2 linked regions of the Drosophila melanogaster genome follow. The protein of the gene in region 1 binds, or shares a complex with, the protein of each later gene. Each region holds a gene or a part of one and is shown in the gene's direction. Other genes may lie near its edges.

What was found. Proteins that work in one complex are often made in the same cells at the same time.
Region 2: the proteins of Diap1 (region 1) and Dronc are in contact, whole or in part, in a crystal structure (PDB 1Q4Q), measured with the Drosophila melanogaster proteins. Residues at the interface, in NP_001261916.1 of Drosophila melanogaster: Thr255, Arg260, Val261, Arg262, Gly269, Leu270, Met271, Asp272, Trp273, Asn274, Asp277, Gln282, Trp286; in NP_524017.1 of Drosophila melanogaster: Pro116 (codon at 4,159), Pro117 (codon at 4,162), Phe118 (codon at 4,165), Ile119 (codon at 4,168), Ser120 (codon at 4,171), Leu121 (codon at 4,174), Asn122 (codon at 4,177).

What each region holds. Positions count from the first base shown.
Region 1 is NT_037436.4:16,045,875-16,054,657, reverse strand, and holds the start of Diap1 (Death-associated inhibitor of apoptosis 1), read left to right. Parts: upstream 1-3,623; 5' UTR 3,624-4,200; intron 4,201-4,354; exon of another isoform or gene 4,355-5,074; intron 5,075-5,148; exon of another isoform or gene 5,149-5,423; intron 5,424-7,811; exon of another isoform or gene 7,812-8,173; intron 8,174-8,783. Other genes in the region: Mbs (myosin binding subunit), read right to left, coding at 1,098-1,352. UniProt on the Drosophila melanogaster protein: Anti-apoptotic protein which functions as a caspase regulator, using its E3 ubiquitin-protein ligase activity to smother caspase activity. Binds, ubiquitinates and inactivates initiator caspase Dronc, and effector caspases Drice and Dcp-1.
Region 2 is NT_037436.4:9,965,075-9,971,504, forward strand, and holds Dronc (death regulator Nedd2-like caspase), read left to right. Parts: upstream 1-3,404; 5' UTR 3,405-3,813; coding exon 3,814-4,260; intron 4,261-4,769; coding exon 4,770-5,675; 3' UTR 5,676-5,928; downstream 5,929-6,430. Other genes in the region: CG6685 (uncharacterized protein), read right to left, coding at 2,398-2,547, 2,613-2,706, 2,760-2,967, 3,031-3,220; CG6674 (uncharacterized protein), read right to left, coding at 6,136-6,430. UniProt on the Drosophila melanogaster protein: Involved in the activation cascade of caspases responsible for apoptosis execution. Effector of steroid-mediated apoptosis during insect metamorphosis. Overexpression promotes programmed cell death.

The sequences.
Region 1 (8,783 bases):
CTTTTGCTTGTGGCTGTTGTTGTTGGCTATGCCGTTCTGGCCATTCGACTTGTAAATCGTCGGCTTGCATTAGCCATGTATTTGCTGTATTTGTTAATATTCGAAATTCGAATTATTGTTGCGGCGGCGAAAGAGCACGAAATACCCAACAACAATAATGGTCGAGCGTCTAGCGAACGGCGCTGCACAGTGGGTCTAAACAGGATGGATCATTCTTGACCTTGATTGAATATCCTATAAAAATTCCTAAATAATAACGTCAATGTGTCATAATGCTGTGTTCTTTATCTTCTTCGATGGAAAATCTTGTAAAATTAATCAATTTAGTAATTTGTTCTTTATATTTTAATTTGTTGTTTTACTTTAAACGCTCTTAAGTTAAATGAAGTATACATAAAAATTAAATGGTTAATCCTTACGAAACAATAAGGTAATACTTTTCGTTTGCTGCTAGATATTCTTGTAGCATTTTAATAATTTGATCCCATGACCCCATGGAATTCGACCCACAGTGCGATTCACGTCAGCACCACAGTTGGACGCAACGCAACAGTGTCGAAACTGCAGCTCCCTGCGCCCGTTCCACCCCAACCCCGCCCCCAATTCACCCACCACCCCCTCGCCCAGTCGCGTGATCGCAGTTGCAGCAGACTGACGCAACGCCTAGCCGCCTTCTAAAGTGGGAAATCAATCCCTGGTGATAGGGGATGCAGTGTGAATATTCACATTTAATTAACTGGAAATTGCACCTGCTGCAAATGCAACCCTTGATAGAATTGCTAATACTCGCCACTTCTACCCAAACAAGAAAATAATGTCTGTTTGCAAACGATTACTTAAGTGGGAATTATCAATACCTACTAAAAGACTGTTGTCTTTTTCTTTTCTTCTAGCGAATGTTTTATGTTTTCTATCTGTGTACTATATCTTTAAAGATAGCTTTAAAATATATTTTATTTTATTGTATGTTCTTTAATTTAAATTTATTTACAAATTGACTAGTTGAGCAAAGTATAACCATTCAAACGTTACATTTTCTACCACCCAATAAGGACTATTCCTAAGTGTGAAAGAATGATGATTACTGGCAGACTTACCTGGTGCAGGGCGGTGAGTCCATCGACGTTGGCGGTGTTGATGTCGGCGCCCTGGTCGAGCAGCTGGACGACCTCGTCCTTGTCGCCGGAAAGGCAGGCGGCGAGGAAGACACAGCCGGAGCTGAACTTGATCCTGCGGCCGTGCTCGTGCCGGGGGGTGGGGGCGGCGCGGTTTGTGTCCGACTCCTCCCAGCGCTTCAGCTGCTCGGCGCGCTTCATCATCGCCGAGTTGTTGCGTGCGTCCAGCGAGGACATCTTGGCAGATCCTTCTTGGCCAGACGAACGATCTGCTCCTTCAGATAATCCTGCTACTTGCTGCAGAGCACGCGCTCTGTGAGATCGCTCGACTGCTCCAGATGTGTGTAGATTTTGTATGTAGCGCTGTTGTATCGCTATTGCTCTATCGTAATTGCTTTATTGCGCTTTTGTTTGCAATGGGAATTGGGTTTTGATTTTGCACTATTTATAGAAAATGCTTCACACTTTCGATTTTCGATCACGACTACACTTTTGCTGTTTGTACTGCTGCTGCTGCTGCTTCTTCTTTTCCTGCTTGCTGATTATTATTATTTTACGATTTTTCTATTTTCTTTGCGTGTGTGTGCGCGTGCGTGCGTGCGTGTGCGTTTGCTTTATCAGCCAACTTCTTGGCGTTTTCTTCTCCGCTCACTCACACAATGTCGCAATCAGGAACGCTCTCTCTCTCTCACACTCGCTCTCCCGCAAAACAATGCTATTTGTTGTTGTTTAACGCGCACCTTTGTTGTTGCATTCAATGGAAATTACACAAGAGGATGGGGCAAAAACTAAGAAATACGATAGGAGAAATTAATATTTTGCAAATGCTTTATTTAGAGCCACCAGCTGCTGGGCTACATAGTGTTAAGCAAACACATTTTCATATCAATTAAAAACACTTGCGGGCATTTTAGCAGCCGCTTGTTTTTTTTACACTTTGTTTATCATTCTCCCTTTCGCGCTCTCTCTCTCTCTCTGCCGCTCACACACACTCATGCAGTTAGGGCTTGCATACGGAGAGCGCGAATGGCTGAGCCTGCATGTGTGTGTGTTACCAATTTGACATAAATTCAACAGCCGCGACGCTGACGTCGCGAGTAAATAGAACAAAAATGGAAACCGCGTATTTTTTCACGCACTGAAATGCGATGATTTTATGTAATTTGGCAGGATGGCGGTATTGCACAAAATCCTTGCAAATGCGAGTGCACTTATGTAAAGGCATTTTTACATCGCCCCACATTTTACATTCCACTCCACACTCACACACACATTCACTCGCCTCGCACACAGACGCAACACATACACACGTATGCCGCACACGCACGTAGAGAAAAATGGATTGCAGTAGAAACTTTTCACACACACCGAAAGACCAAGCGAAAAACGCACCTTTCCCGCGAAATTCCCAGAACTTTCAGTGCTCTCTGGGCTTTAATGGCTGCAGGACTCTCCGCTGAAGCGCTCCTCGTCCGCGAGGCACTGGTATTTCACTTTATTTTGCATATTTTCGGTGGCGTTCAAATCGAATTTCATCCGCACGAAGTTCACAGACCAAAATTTTTTGACGATGTGAATCGGAGGGCAATGCGCGGTATATTTAGCACTCTTTTCGCCTGGTCACACTAACGCCGCTCACAAAATTGTAGATGGCGTCTTAGTTATGTTAACACTTAGCAGTGCTGTTATGGACCGATATTTTTAACGATGTTAATTAAACTATCAATATTATTTTAGGGTATTCGTAATTGTTCGTCTTATTACTCCATTCGGGAGAAATGCGTTCTTTTTGCATCCAATTCTTTACATTTAGTTCAAAAATAGATGCGGCCATATCTATCGATATATTTGATGTGCCTCAAAAACACATACAATGCAATTTTCAAACAACTTTTTAAATATATTAATACCGTTTCTAATTTTATCTATATAAAACACAAAAAGGAAAAAGAGGATACAACAGAATCAATTTACTTTCAAACTCAAAAAATGCTGTTTTTGGTCAACTTCTCTAATTGTGGCTTCCCTCAATTGTTTGTATTTATTCCTGGTTTGATACTAAGAATTCTCGAAAGTTTATTAAACCGAAACAACAAACAATTGATGTTAAAATAAATTTCCAAACTGATCAAAGTATTTTGTTTTTACTGGGAGTTCTCGGTATGCCGAAGGTTCTTCTGTTTGTTCCACTAATTTTTTTGTCAAATCAAGACAAAATGTTAGGGGCTCTAATTCTGATGAATCGAAATAAGCTCAGTTTTCGCGGTGTTACTGGACCGGGTAACAGACCCTTGTTCTATAAGTGGCTCAATTTTGTATATGTGTTATACCTGAACTACCGTTTCGATTTCCAAACCGTTTTATTCGATAAATGTTGGTTGAAAACGCTGCTGACGGCCTAGCGTAGACTTGATCCCACTGATGCATCTTATCGATATCTTTTTAGCGCGTATCGATACATCAGCGAGCCAAGCACCTTGAACAGTGTGACCCCATTTAGCATTTATTTAAAACTACGACTTCGTGTGCTGACAGTTGTTTGTTTTTGAAATTTTAATATATTCAGAAATATAAATAGCTTGCAAAATAGTTATTAATTAAACTTAAAAAAGTTTTAAAAAAAACATTCCAGTTTAGAGACGCACAGCTGGAATAGCCAACGAAAGTGCGGACATCCCACCCCCAAAAATAATTGCGCATCGCTTGGGCGGCAAAAAACTATTTCGACCGTTCCGCCCCGCTAGTTCTCTCTCTTTCCCCCGCCAGCACCCTCTCGCTCACTAGAAAGCCAAGCAAAACAAAACAAAACGAGAACGCAGAACCGACAAAACAAATACCTATAGGAAAGTGAGCTATATAGGCACATAGCTTTGGCGTAGTCGTTGCACGGCATTCAAACCCACCAGTCGACGTGAGCACAGTTGTGTAAACATTTTATACAGCAAAACTTATTTTAAGTGATTTTATAATCTTATCGTGGTGCGATAAGAGGTGAACGAAAACAATTAACGATTTGGTGGCCGAAAAAAGGCATTAAAAAAACCAATGATAAACTGATACGTTATCACTGTTTAAAATGTCTCTGGTAAGTAAATATAAATATGTGTGTTCAATCTTCCCGCGGTTTATAGAAAAAACAAAATGGGTTTACTTTACTATACTTGAATTATGCTGCATACAAATAGGCGCCGCCTGTCTACCTTTCTCTCTCCAACACGCCTTTTTTCATTCATGTCCTTACCCCCACATAAACAGGGACACGACCATTATCCCTCCCTCTCTCACTCTCTCTCTCTCCCCCTTTCTCCCTATCTCGCTCTCCGCTCTCTGGCGTTTTCTAGTGATTTCTAAAACAATCTGGAGGCCGAGATACACATGTACATACATACTTAGGCATATGTCAGGATCCCGTCTTATCTTATTCGCTCTTGTGCTAGCTTGTCATTTTGAGGGATGGGTTGGAATGAAATCTGTCTGTCGCACATGTTTCTGCCTGGATATTAACTAAGATTGTACCTTTTATCTCCGCCGATGCTGAGCTCATTCGCATCGCATTTCATTCATGATGAAATCAACACCACCCCCATGCTGCAAAACCCACCCATTCGTGGAACGCGTTTACTAGCTAGAATTTTCCAATTTCTAATTACCGCTCAATGTCATTTCCATTTACAGCGCTGCGTAGGTTCCTATGATTGATGGGGTTTTGCCTATAGCATCAGTTGCTTACCTCACTTATTTTACTAGAACGAAATTCATATATCCTCGCTGCATTCTGTTTTGCGTCATTCATTCGTGAGATATTTGTTTAAAACAACTGTCAACTGGCAAGTCTAATCTATACCTAGTAACGGTGACTAGATGGTTTCACAGGAAATTAGGTCACTTGAGTAATGTCATAACCTCTCAAATTCCTTACTTCAAATAGTAGTTCACTGATGAGTTCACTTGGTGTTCCCCTGAAAATGATGAATAAAATTATTTTTGAGTATTTATCCACTACACCATAAACTTAAATATACAATATACATACATCCTTTTTGAGGCTCCATCATTTGACAGCAAAAGATCCGCGGGACACCTCAGTTCGGTAGGCTCATTATTGGATTGTTCCACACATCCACACACCGAAAATATCCTGACAAAGGATCGACGGCAGCTGGCGTCGTCATGTGCCGCGCGATCCTTTCACTGGAAGCGTGCACAATAAGGATGAGGACCCTTGCCCCAGGAGCAGATGTTGCTGGCTCCGCTTTCGGCGATCCTCTGATCGGTTATTACCTAGTTGCTGCAGCTGCCGGCACACGTCCACAATTGTCGATCCAGGTGCTTTCTTTCCTTCCTTTTTTTTTGGCCCTGAATGGAGCAGGTAAATACATGGTGGCTAGAAAAGGGACCGACAGGCAGCACATGTTATAAGCAATGGGTAGTGGCTAGTCTAATCGAATCGTGCCCAACGCGTTGTTATGACACCTTTTGCCAATCGCCGCACAAATGAATGAAGAGAATACAAAAATGGCAAACAGGTTTTCAGCTCCGCTGCAGTTGGCTGTTAATAAAAAGCCACAAAATATAACATAAACAGAATCAACTGTAGAGTATAGCTTTTGAAATGTAATATGAGGAACTTAGGAATTACAAAGTTGCAGCAATCTTTTGACACGCTCCTTAATATTTATCTTAAATGAATATTATACATGCATATATAGATAAAATTAAGGTATATCCCTATTGAGTCATACTTGTTAATGCTGGCATGGTTTCATTATTAAAGCAACAAAGTGACTCAAGTTGTTTGAAATAGCTTAAACAGCTGTCAACACATTAAGTTAAAACGCTGTAGGCTATTTTAACTGTGCATTAAAAGCAGCACCAACAAGAACAGGGCGGTTGCAACAACTTTAAAAGGCCTTGCAAGGCCGTTTAGCTCCAAGCCCGCGGATTTTTCAACTAAAACTTGTCCGGCGACTCGAGACCCAAACTCTGCGTGGTCAGCGGAGTGATCTTTTGATGCTGAATATGAAATGAAAACCGAAGTGCCTCTGGCAGCATCCGCAAATAGAATGCTTGTATAGACGCCACATTTTCGCTTAATTTACAGCAGAAGACCGCCTGCAAACAGTGTCGACTTGCAACATGTCAAAGTCGTCTAGACTTCGCATTTATAGGCAAATTTCTCAAATGCGTCGCGACATTTTCGTGGTAAATTTAGCAGCGTGTATTTATAAAATTTGAAAAGTTCAACCCGTTTGCTTGCGGACGCCATATACACATGTCGCGCACTGTAGCCGGGCTGTTTTCCATAAATGATTCAAACTTGGCAATCTTTGTTTATACAGTATCAGAACGTGTTGGCATTTCCCCTGCCAAATATATATTCATAACTCAAAGGGGCTTAATCAGAAAAGCTTGGGACTTCGTTTAAAAATATTTTACTTATTGATAGTTCATTGCAAATACTTTGTTCGAGGCAAAAACGTCAATTCAAGAAATATGTTTGTAAATTTCATAATATAAATATATTCAACAAATACTTTAAGAATCCCTAGTGGTTTCTTCGCATTTATTAGTTTTTATCAGCCATTTTATCATGTCATATACTAACTTATGTACATAAAATTGCGTAATATTTACTGTAGCAATTACTCAGCCTTGTACTGTGTGCAAAATATATATATTAGAACCCCGCCCCAGGGAACCCTATTTTCTATAACCTAAAAGCGAATCAAAAAGCTGACATTTTAGAAGACATAGAAGAAATTGACTCAAAATAAGGCATTGCAATTGAAGTTGTAAATCTTGTTCTTTAGTTTTTGGTATAAGGACGGATTCATCATTAATTCATCATCATTAGATTGACACTTCTAGTGTCTTTGGTTTAACCTGAATCAGGCTAGTACGGGACCGAGTACGGGACAGAGCCTGCACTTTGAGATGTTCTCTTAATTTTGTTTTTTGTTTTGCTCTTTTCCATACATAGCTTTTTGCATAGCCGATTTGTTTAAAGCTGGCACTCCGCCAGCCAAGCCGTATCATTAAAAGCATTTTTTCGTTTAAAAAAATAATGATCGGAATTCGAAGGCATAATAATCTACCTTTTTTGATATGTGGACTTTGTGAAAGTTCCAGCTGCTCCTTCCTCCTCGCCACAATGAAGGAGAGACAGACAGACAGAGTGAGAGAGAGTGAGAGAGAGGTGGAAATGCGGTGCATTGACACGCGCGCGGCGCATGCTCTTCGCTCTCTTGCAGGAGGATAAAAATCAATGATCCTGGCTGCGGTGTCTGCGAGTGCGAAAGGGATAGCCATACAGGCAACAGTAGTACGTCTATTACGATTTACGTATTAATACTAGTCGTAGTACAACAAAATTATGCACTTGCATTTGTCCATTTTTATTAATTGTTCAACTTGCCCACAATAAAAAGCCAGACTGTTTGATTCTAAACAACGTTTATGGGCCCCGCCTTCACTAAAAGTGGCTAAATAAAGTTTCAGTAATAGCAAGAAAATTAAAAGTGCGGAAGGCCGAATGAACAACTGCATTGAACATTCCACTCACCAAAGCTAGGCAGCTGAGAGAGGGTGTCTGTCTACCTCTCTCGTTGGCAGTTCTGAAAAAAATAACCTTAAATGTTTACAGAATTAGCGTGAAGCCGAGGGATTCGAAATCGACTTCGGCAGCGCTCGTCTCGTTGCTTCGTTTCAGTTGAATGTCGAATCTCGGCCCGTATAGACACAATGGACAACTCGCTTTGAGCGCTGTCTCGATTTAAATTTATACATTTAAAGTACAAAAAAAGTATTCCACGGTACTGAATGTGATAGTTGGCTTTGTAATTGTAGGCGATATAGCAGCAGCAACAACAAAAGCAAATACAGAGCGTAGGAGATAACAGAAAACGTGTTATTGTGTTTTTCCGTTCGTGTTCACGGAAAATCAATAGTGATTGTGAAAGCGCATTATTTACACGATTAACAAATCGTCAAATCTCAACGCAACGGAAATTTTCCAGTGCAAACTTGAGTTTTTCAAGAAAAAGAGAAAAGCCGTCAAGGTGAGCCCCAGTTTTATAATCTAGTATGGTATTTTGTGTACCCCAAGCGAAAAATAACCCCAAATTAACGAAAACGTGTCATCAGAAGGCAAAGGCAACAGCTAAAATATATTTTGTTTGCTTTGCTTGTATCTTTACTCGCACACTCACACACACACTATATATCAGTAAAAAAAAAACCACACAGGCGCACACGATCATACGAGTGCCCACAAGACAAAGTTGTCACATGTGGTTTAACTGCATTTACGTTTCCATTTGTTATTAATAAAACGAGTATACATACTTTTGCATCAGTATACATACTTCTGCATACATAAATGTAAATTACCAGTAAGGGGTTTAAATTTAAATTCCTTTTAAATCGAAAACGTTTTATTATTTTTCGTCGGGTGTGCTTCGTTTTCTTTTGTGTTTTTTTGTGCTTGCATAAAAAGATGGCGACCGTAGAGTTGCTGAATACTCGCTCTCTTATTTCATTTTAAATTATTTACGGAATTACAAACTTGTGTTTACCCAGTGAATTCGGCGAATTTTTCGGTAATGGTTAACAACAATTCAAAATGACACACGTTTGTTTGCACGTCTTTTCTGGCCATATGGTAACCCT
Region 2 (6,430 bases), 6.1 Mb from region 1:
AAGAAGCATAACTAAGTATTTTCAGTCGAATCTCTAAATGTTGTTAGCCAATCAAATTTGATGTGACCAAAACAACATATTCAAAACCCAAATTAATTGTAATTTAATCTAAAAACCAAAGTGTCAAACACAATCCAACACAATCAACACAAGAACACGAACCATTTAAAAACCAATGAAACACTATGCAGAATGCAATCAATTCCTAGAAATCCTAACTATTCTCGAATATATATTTATTGTGAATGTTTACGCTAGGCAAAAAATAAAAAAAAAATACAAAAATATGTCAAATATATACCTCTATGTGTCATTGAACTCGCCTATATCATCATAGTTTATCATATATATATAGTTTAAACCATATCACACTGCAAAAGATACAGAAGCAAACATATATTGCCTATTTATTTTGCAAACATCGATGATAAATATATGCAATCAACTAAGAGAGAATCGTGTACCTACATACAACGTACCTAGCACCATAGAAACCAAACTTATCACAGAGCTTTACAGCAATCGCAATCAAAAAAAAAAAAAAAACAAACAAAAAAGTAATCAATATGAATAACCACGAATACGAAAGGAACGTTTATTTTTTGGCCAAGAACCTCGAGTGATCCCGCCTGCGCTTTATAGTGATGAATCCCACATAAATCTATGTATATTCTATACCCATCATTCAATTCATTCAATATATACACACTATGATCAAACGTAATAGATAGCTCCAAAAAAACACCCAAAACTACTACTAAGGTGAATATACACGAATCCAATCCAAGGTCCACCGATCCGAAATAGAACCAGAGCCAGTAATTACTGAAGCCGCTGTACCCGAAGGCAATCTCAAACTCAATCTCAGTCTCACATTTATAGTCAATTTGTATAGTTGGGCAGCTATATGCGTAAAAGTGTGGTAATTGGTAATGGTAAACTCTTGAAACTTTATACATATAGTGAAGACTCACCAGTGTCATAGATGTATTCATTACGTAAACGGCAATTAAAGCGATTATTATCATTATTGTTGTGCTATGTTTAGCGGAGTAGAAGTGAAACCCGAAAAAAAATATGAATTTATATATGTATACAAAACGCAGCAGCAGCAGCAGGACGAACTCTATCTAGGACACATTAAAAACCACTCTACTTTATATACACATACTCGAATGATATGAATAAAAGTATGAATTACACGAACGGGAACGGGACAATCAAAATTCAAGCGACACTAAAACTAATTCTATATCAACTATCAACTAACAAACAATTGCAATTTTAAGTTACGTTGTTGTCGTTCGTTGTGTTTGTTCGATTCGTTGGATCTGCGTTTGGTTAATGCCAGCTAATTTGATCCTGAAACTCCAGCATATCCTTGCCATGCACCTGAAATTGCTTTGCATTTTGTTCGGTCCGAATTTGTTGTTTATTTATTTCACCTTAGACAAGCATATCGATATGGTTTACTAGCGTTTAATCGTACGTATATATAATTAGATTTACTTAATTTTAATTAATGTTTACGCGACAAGACAGAAACCTAAACACAAGAAACAAAAAAAAAAATTTAAAAATGAAAAAATTAAAAACAAAATCTAAATCAAAGAAAAAGGGGAAAACCAAAAGCTCAAACTGGACTGAACATTTAAGAGTTATATTATGTACATTATTGAATTGCATTTGATTGTGTGAAGATCGTTTTAGTGCTAGTAACTGCGCCTAAAACAAAAGGGTATTATATTTGTATTCGAATTTGTATGTAATTCTGATCGTATGTACGTTATGTTATCGTAAGTGTACCATCCTAGATCCTCTAATGAATTGAATTGAAATGAAGCCAACTCTGTCTCTTGTGATTCTATTGTGATGCTATGGGAGTCAAGCAGCACTCAACTGTTTTTATGCCTCTTAAAGTTTAAAACAAAGCTAATCGTAGCAAAACCTAAAACTAAACTACCTATCTCTACACTAGTCTATGCAATGCTAATTGGCAGCCCCAACAATTGAAAACAATCATGCACAATAAATGTTATGCAATTGAGAGAATCCAAAGGCCAAAGACCCACAACTTTTTCTTACACTACTCGAAGTAATTGTGTACAACTAAAGGAATTCTAGATTTTAAATGTGCTAAAACTGTTTATAGTCAAGTACTTAATTAAGAGTGTAATTATCAAATATTAATACGTACAAAGGTTGGGGCATTTGGCATAGTAATACTAATAATGTATAAACGTGGGATCCGATGATTTGATTGATGATAATGGAGCGGTGCAAATGCGTGTGACAATGTACGTATGTAACAAACAATTGAATTTAAATGTTTAATAAATGTGTGGAAATGAATAAATGCTCTGTGTGCTAAATTCCTCAATTACTCAATAACAGCCTCTACGTTAGCTTCTCGTCCAGGAATAGTGGATCCAAACTGCACTTTTGCCGCTGTTCCATGTAATCCAAAAACTGGTGGTCAAATAAACGCTGCCCCATGCTGCGTGCCACATCGTCGGATTCGTCGGTGTTTGCCTTCTCTATGAGCAGCTGTTGGCATTAGGATTTCCTTTTTTTTTAACTATTTTGGAAAGTTGATGCAGCCTTCTGCTCACCTCAATTTCCTTGGACAAAAATTCTTTGGTCGCATCGCTCATCTTCTTTTGCGGCTGGCCCATCAAAGCGTTTTCCAGAAACTTGTAGGCCTCACTGAAAGTACCACAATGCTAAATACAAATGTAGTTTATCAAAACCATTCCTACTTCAAGTCAATGCCGTTCAGTTCCGTTGGCGATGGCTTTGTCTCATTTTGGATTATGGAGTTCACAACGACGGCTGCTTCGAATTCGCAGAGTTCAGCGAGTTGCGAACTTTTCATGAGCTCCAGCCACTGGTTAATGTTGTTTAAGCTAACGGAGTCGCAGTTTTTCACCATTTCCTCGCCCTTGCCAATCATGTCGGCCACATACTCTAGAAAAGGGATTGGGGGACAATGTACTTTTATTGCATTATGCATGTTTTAAGAAAACTCACGGAGAATGCCATTCGAATTATTTTGATTTTGCTGCTTGGCTGCTTCGAGCAGGATTTGCTGTGAGTAGCCCAGTCTGTTTAGTTGCCTTTGCAGCTTAACTTTCACCTCTCTCGGAATCCTTGCAGGCTTTTCTGCGCCTTTTTGCGCGGAGTTTTTCGGTTCCGGCGTAAATTGTTGCTCCTCCTCCATTTCTTTTGTTTATGTTTACGGTTTGTTAGGCTGACCCCATATGGTATTTGGTATTTAGTATTAAATTGAATCATTTGATGCGGCAATGAAGGAATGGTGGAATAAGTGGAACATGGAGACGGTTCATGTCATGGATTTATCCCGGACGCGTTCTCTGGTTAAAATGGCGCACCCACAAGCAGCCACACCAATCCCAAAGTTTCATTTATTAGTTTAGTGGCGAGTTTGGCGGCGCGAAACGCTCGTTGGTCCTTTTGTTTCGAAAGAAATCCTATTCGAAGATCCCCGATCCTTGCTAGGATCATCTAGTGCAATATATAGACTAGTTAATTTACTTTTGGAAAAATAAGGACACCAGCAGGGCCGCCGATTTGTGCCCCTTTCTTGAAAGTCGCAAAACAAAAACAACGACGACAACAACAAAGCGGAGACAAAGAATCGACAAGTAGCGATAAACGAAATCATTCCCGGGAAAACCTTGGAGACGGGTGATTCACTGCCAATACCACTGCCAATTGGAGACTGATCACGGCAGCCATCCTTGGCGCGCCCAATAAGCGGAGTCACCGGAACGCGTGGAAGCCATATCCGGAATGCAGCCGCCGGAGCTCGAGATTGGAATGCCGAAGAGGCATCGCGAGCATATACGCAAGAATCTGAATATACTGGTTGAATGGACGAACTACGAGCGTCTGGCCATGGAGTGCGTGCAACAGGGCATCCTAACCGTTCAGATGCTAAGAAATACGCAGGATCTCAATGGCAAGCCATTCAACATGGACGAGAAGGATGTGCGTGTGGAGCAGCATCGTAGGCTCCTATTGAAGATCACCCAGCGTGGTCCCACCGCCTATAACCTGCTGATCAATGCACTGCGCAATATCAATTGTCTGGATGCGGCCGTTCTATTGGAATCCGTCGATGAGTCCGATTCAAGGCCACCCTTTATCTCGCTAAACGAACGGAGAACCAGCCGGAAGTCGGCCGATATTGTGGACACACCCTCACCCGAAGCCTCCGAAGGACCCTGCGTTAGCAAGGTAATGAAAATAAAATCATACGAAAGCTTTGATGGTGAAATTGCAGCTCAGGTCATTGACCCTGATTTCTACAAAAAACCGGTTTATGGCACAATTTATTTGCATTTTTTTTTTTAGGTTTGTTAATTGAGTTATTCCTATTGGAATGAGATTAGAAAAGGTATCTTTAAGAATTGTAAATGGACTCAATGATGAATACTACTTTGGTACATGTGCACAGTATTATTTGCTTCTCTTTCAGAAGTTAGTTCGTGTATGAGATTCTTGTTTTCCATTTTTTTTGGAAGCATGAATCACATCCATTCTACTTACCTATCCCAATTATTCTTTTAGTAGGATTTGTTTTTAACCAGAATCTTATCGCAATATTGCTGGCAGCTGTGTTTATATAGCACGAATGTTGATTACTTCTTTGTCTGCCACATTAACCGTGCAATGAAAATATAATATATATATTGAAAATCTTATCTTTATTGTAATTTGTTCTTTCTTTCTCTCTCCTACCAAAGCTCCGGAATGAGCCGCTGGGAGCACTCACCCCTTATGTGGGTGTCGTTGACGGTCCCGAGGTAAAAAAATCGAAAAAGATACATGGTGGGGATAGTGCCATATTGGGCACATATAAGATGCAATCACGTTTCAACCGAGGCGTTTTGCTAATGGTTAACATAATGGACTATCCGGATCAAAACCGTCGACGGATCGGAGCCGAAAAGGACAGCAAGTCGTTGATACACTTGTTTCAAGAACTGAATTTTACGATTTTCCCCTATGGGAACGTGAATCAGGATCAGTTCTTTAAACTTCTGACAATGGTGACCTCCTCGTCGTATGTGCAGAATACCGAGTGTTTCGTAATGGTACTGATGACACACGGCAACAGTGTGGAGGGAAAAGAGAAGGTGGAGTTTTGCGATGGATCTGTGGTCGATATGCAGAAGATCAAGGACCATTTCCAGACGGCCAAATGTCCTTATTTGGTGAACAAGCCGAAGGTGCTTATGTTTCCCTTTTGCCGCGGCGATGAATATGATTTGGGCCATCCAAAGAATCAAGGCAATCTCATGGAGCCAGTGTATACGGCGCAAGAGGAGAAGTGGCCTGACACCCAGACGGAGGGCATACCCAGCCCGAGCACCAATGTGCCAAGTCTTGCCGACACTCTGGTCTGCTATGCTAATACGCCGGGCTATGTTACCCACCGCGATCTCGACACGGGCAGCTGGTACATCCAGAAGTTTTGCCAAGTGATGGCCGATCATGCCCACGACACAGACCTTGAGGATATCCTAAAGAAGACGAGCGAAGCCGTGGGTAATAAGCGCACCAAGAAGGGTTCCATGCAGACAGGTGCCTATGATAATCTTGGCTTTAATAAGAAACTCTACTTCAATCCCGGGTTTTTCAACGAATAGTTGCCGCCACTGGACATTTTATCATTCCGGATGCATTTTTAACCGCATTTATGTTCTTATCGTCGCATTTAGTATGTCTTTTAGATTATGTGTTCTGTGCTCGCGTGCTATAAAATGTTTATATTGTAACAAATACTCATTCAAGTATTCTTCTAATACGTATTGCATACCTCATTTAAAGGTACGAAATTATGTAATTTATGTGATAACTGCCAGAAATCTACAAATATTATAATACAGAGTTCCAGTATATACACAGCCAGATTTTTGAAATCGAACATTTAGGCAAAATGTAAAGCAATTTTCCAGTCTGATTTTTGAGTGTGTACACTTACAAAATAAACGATGATATTTCACAACAAACCGCAGTTTGTATATAATTAAAATCTATTTACATTTCTAAAATTTCATTGGGACACTAATTATTATATAATATAATCTTAGGATCATACATTTTAACCTAATCATCCTGCTCATCCTCCTCCGCCAAGTGGGACAGTTGTAGTTTTCCCGCTGCACGGCTCTGTTCCGATTTGGTTTTGCATTTCTTTGGCTTATGCGGCTTTTGGCCAATTACATACTCAGGCATCACCAGCTTGGAACCTCTTAACTGCGGCTTATCCAGCTCCACATCATCCACCTCCTGCTGTTTGAGGCTCTTGAGCTTGCGGCTGAGTTTGCTGGTCCTCTTGAACTCGATCTTGCCATCTGTAGGTGGAGATTCGTTATCGACGCCCTCAGCCTCGCGCTGTGCA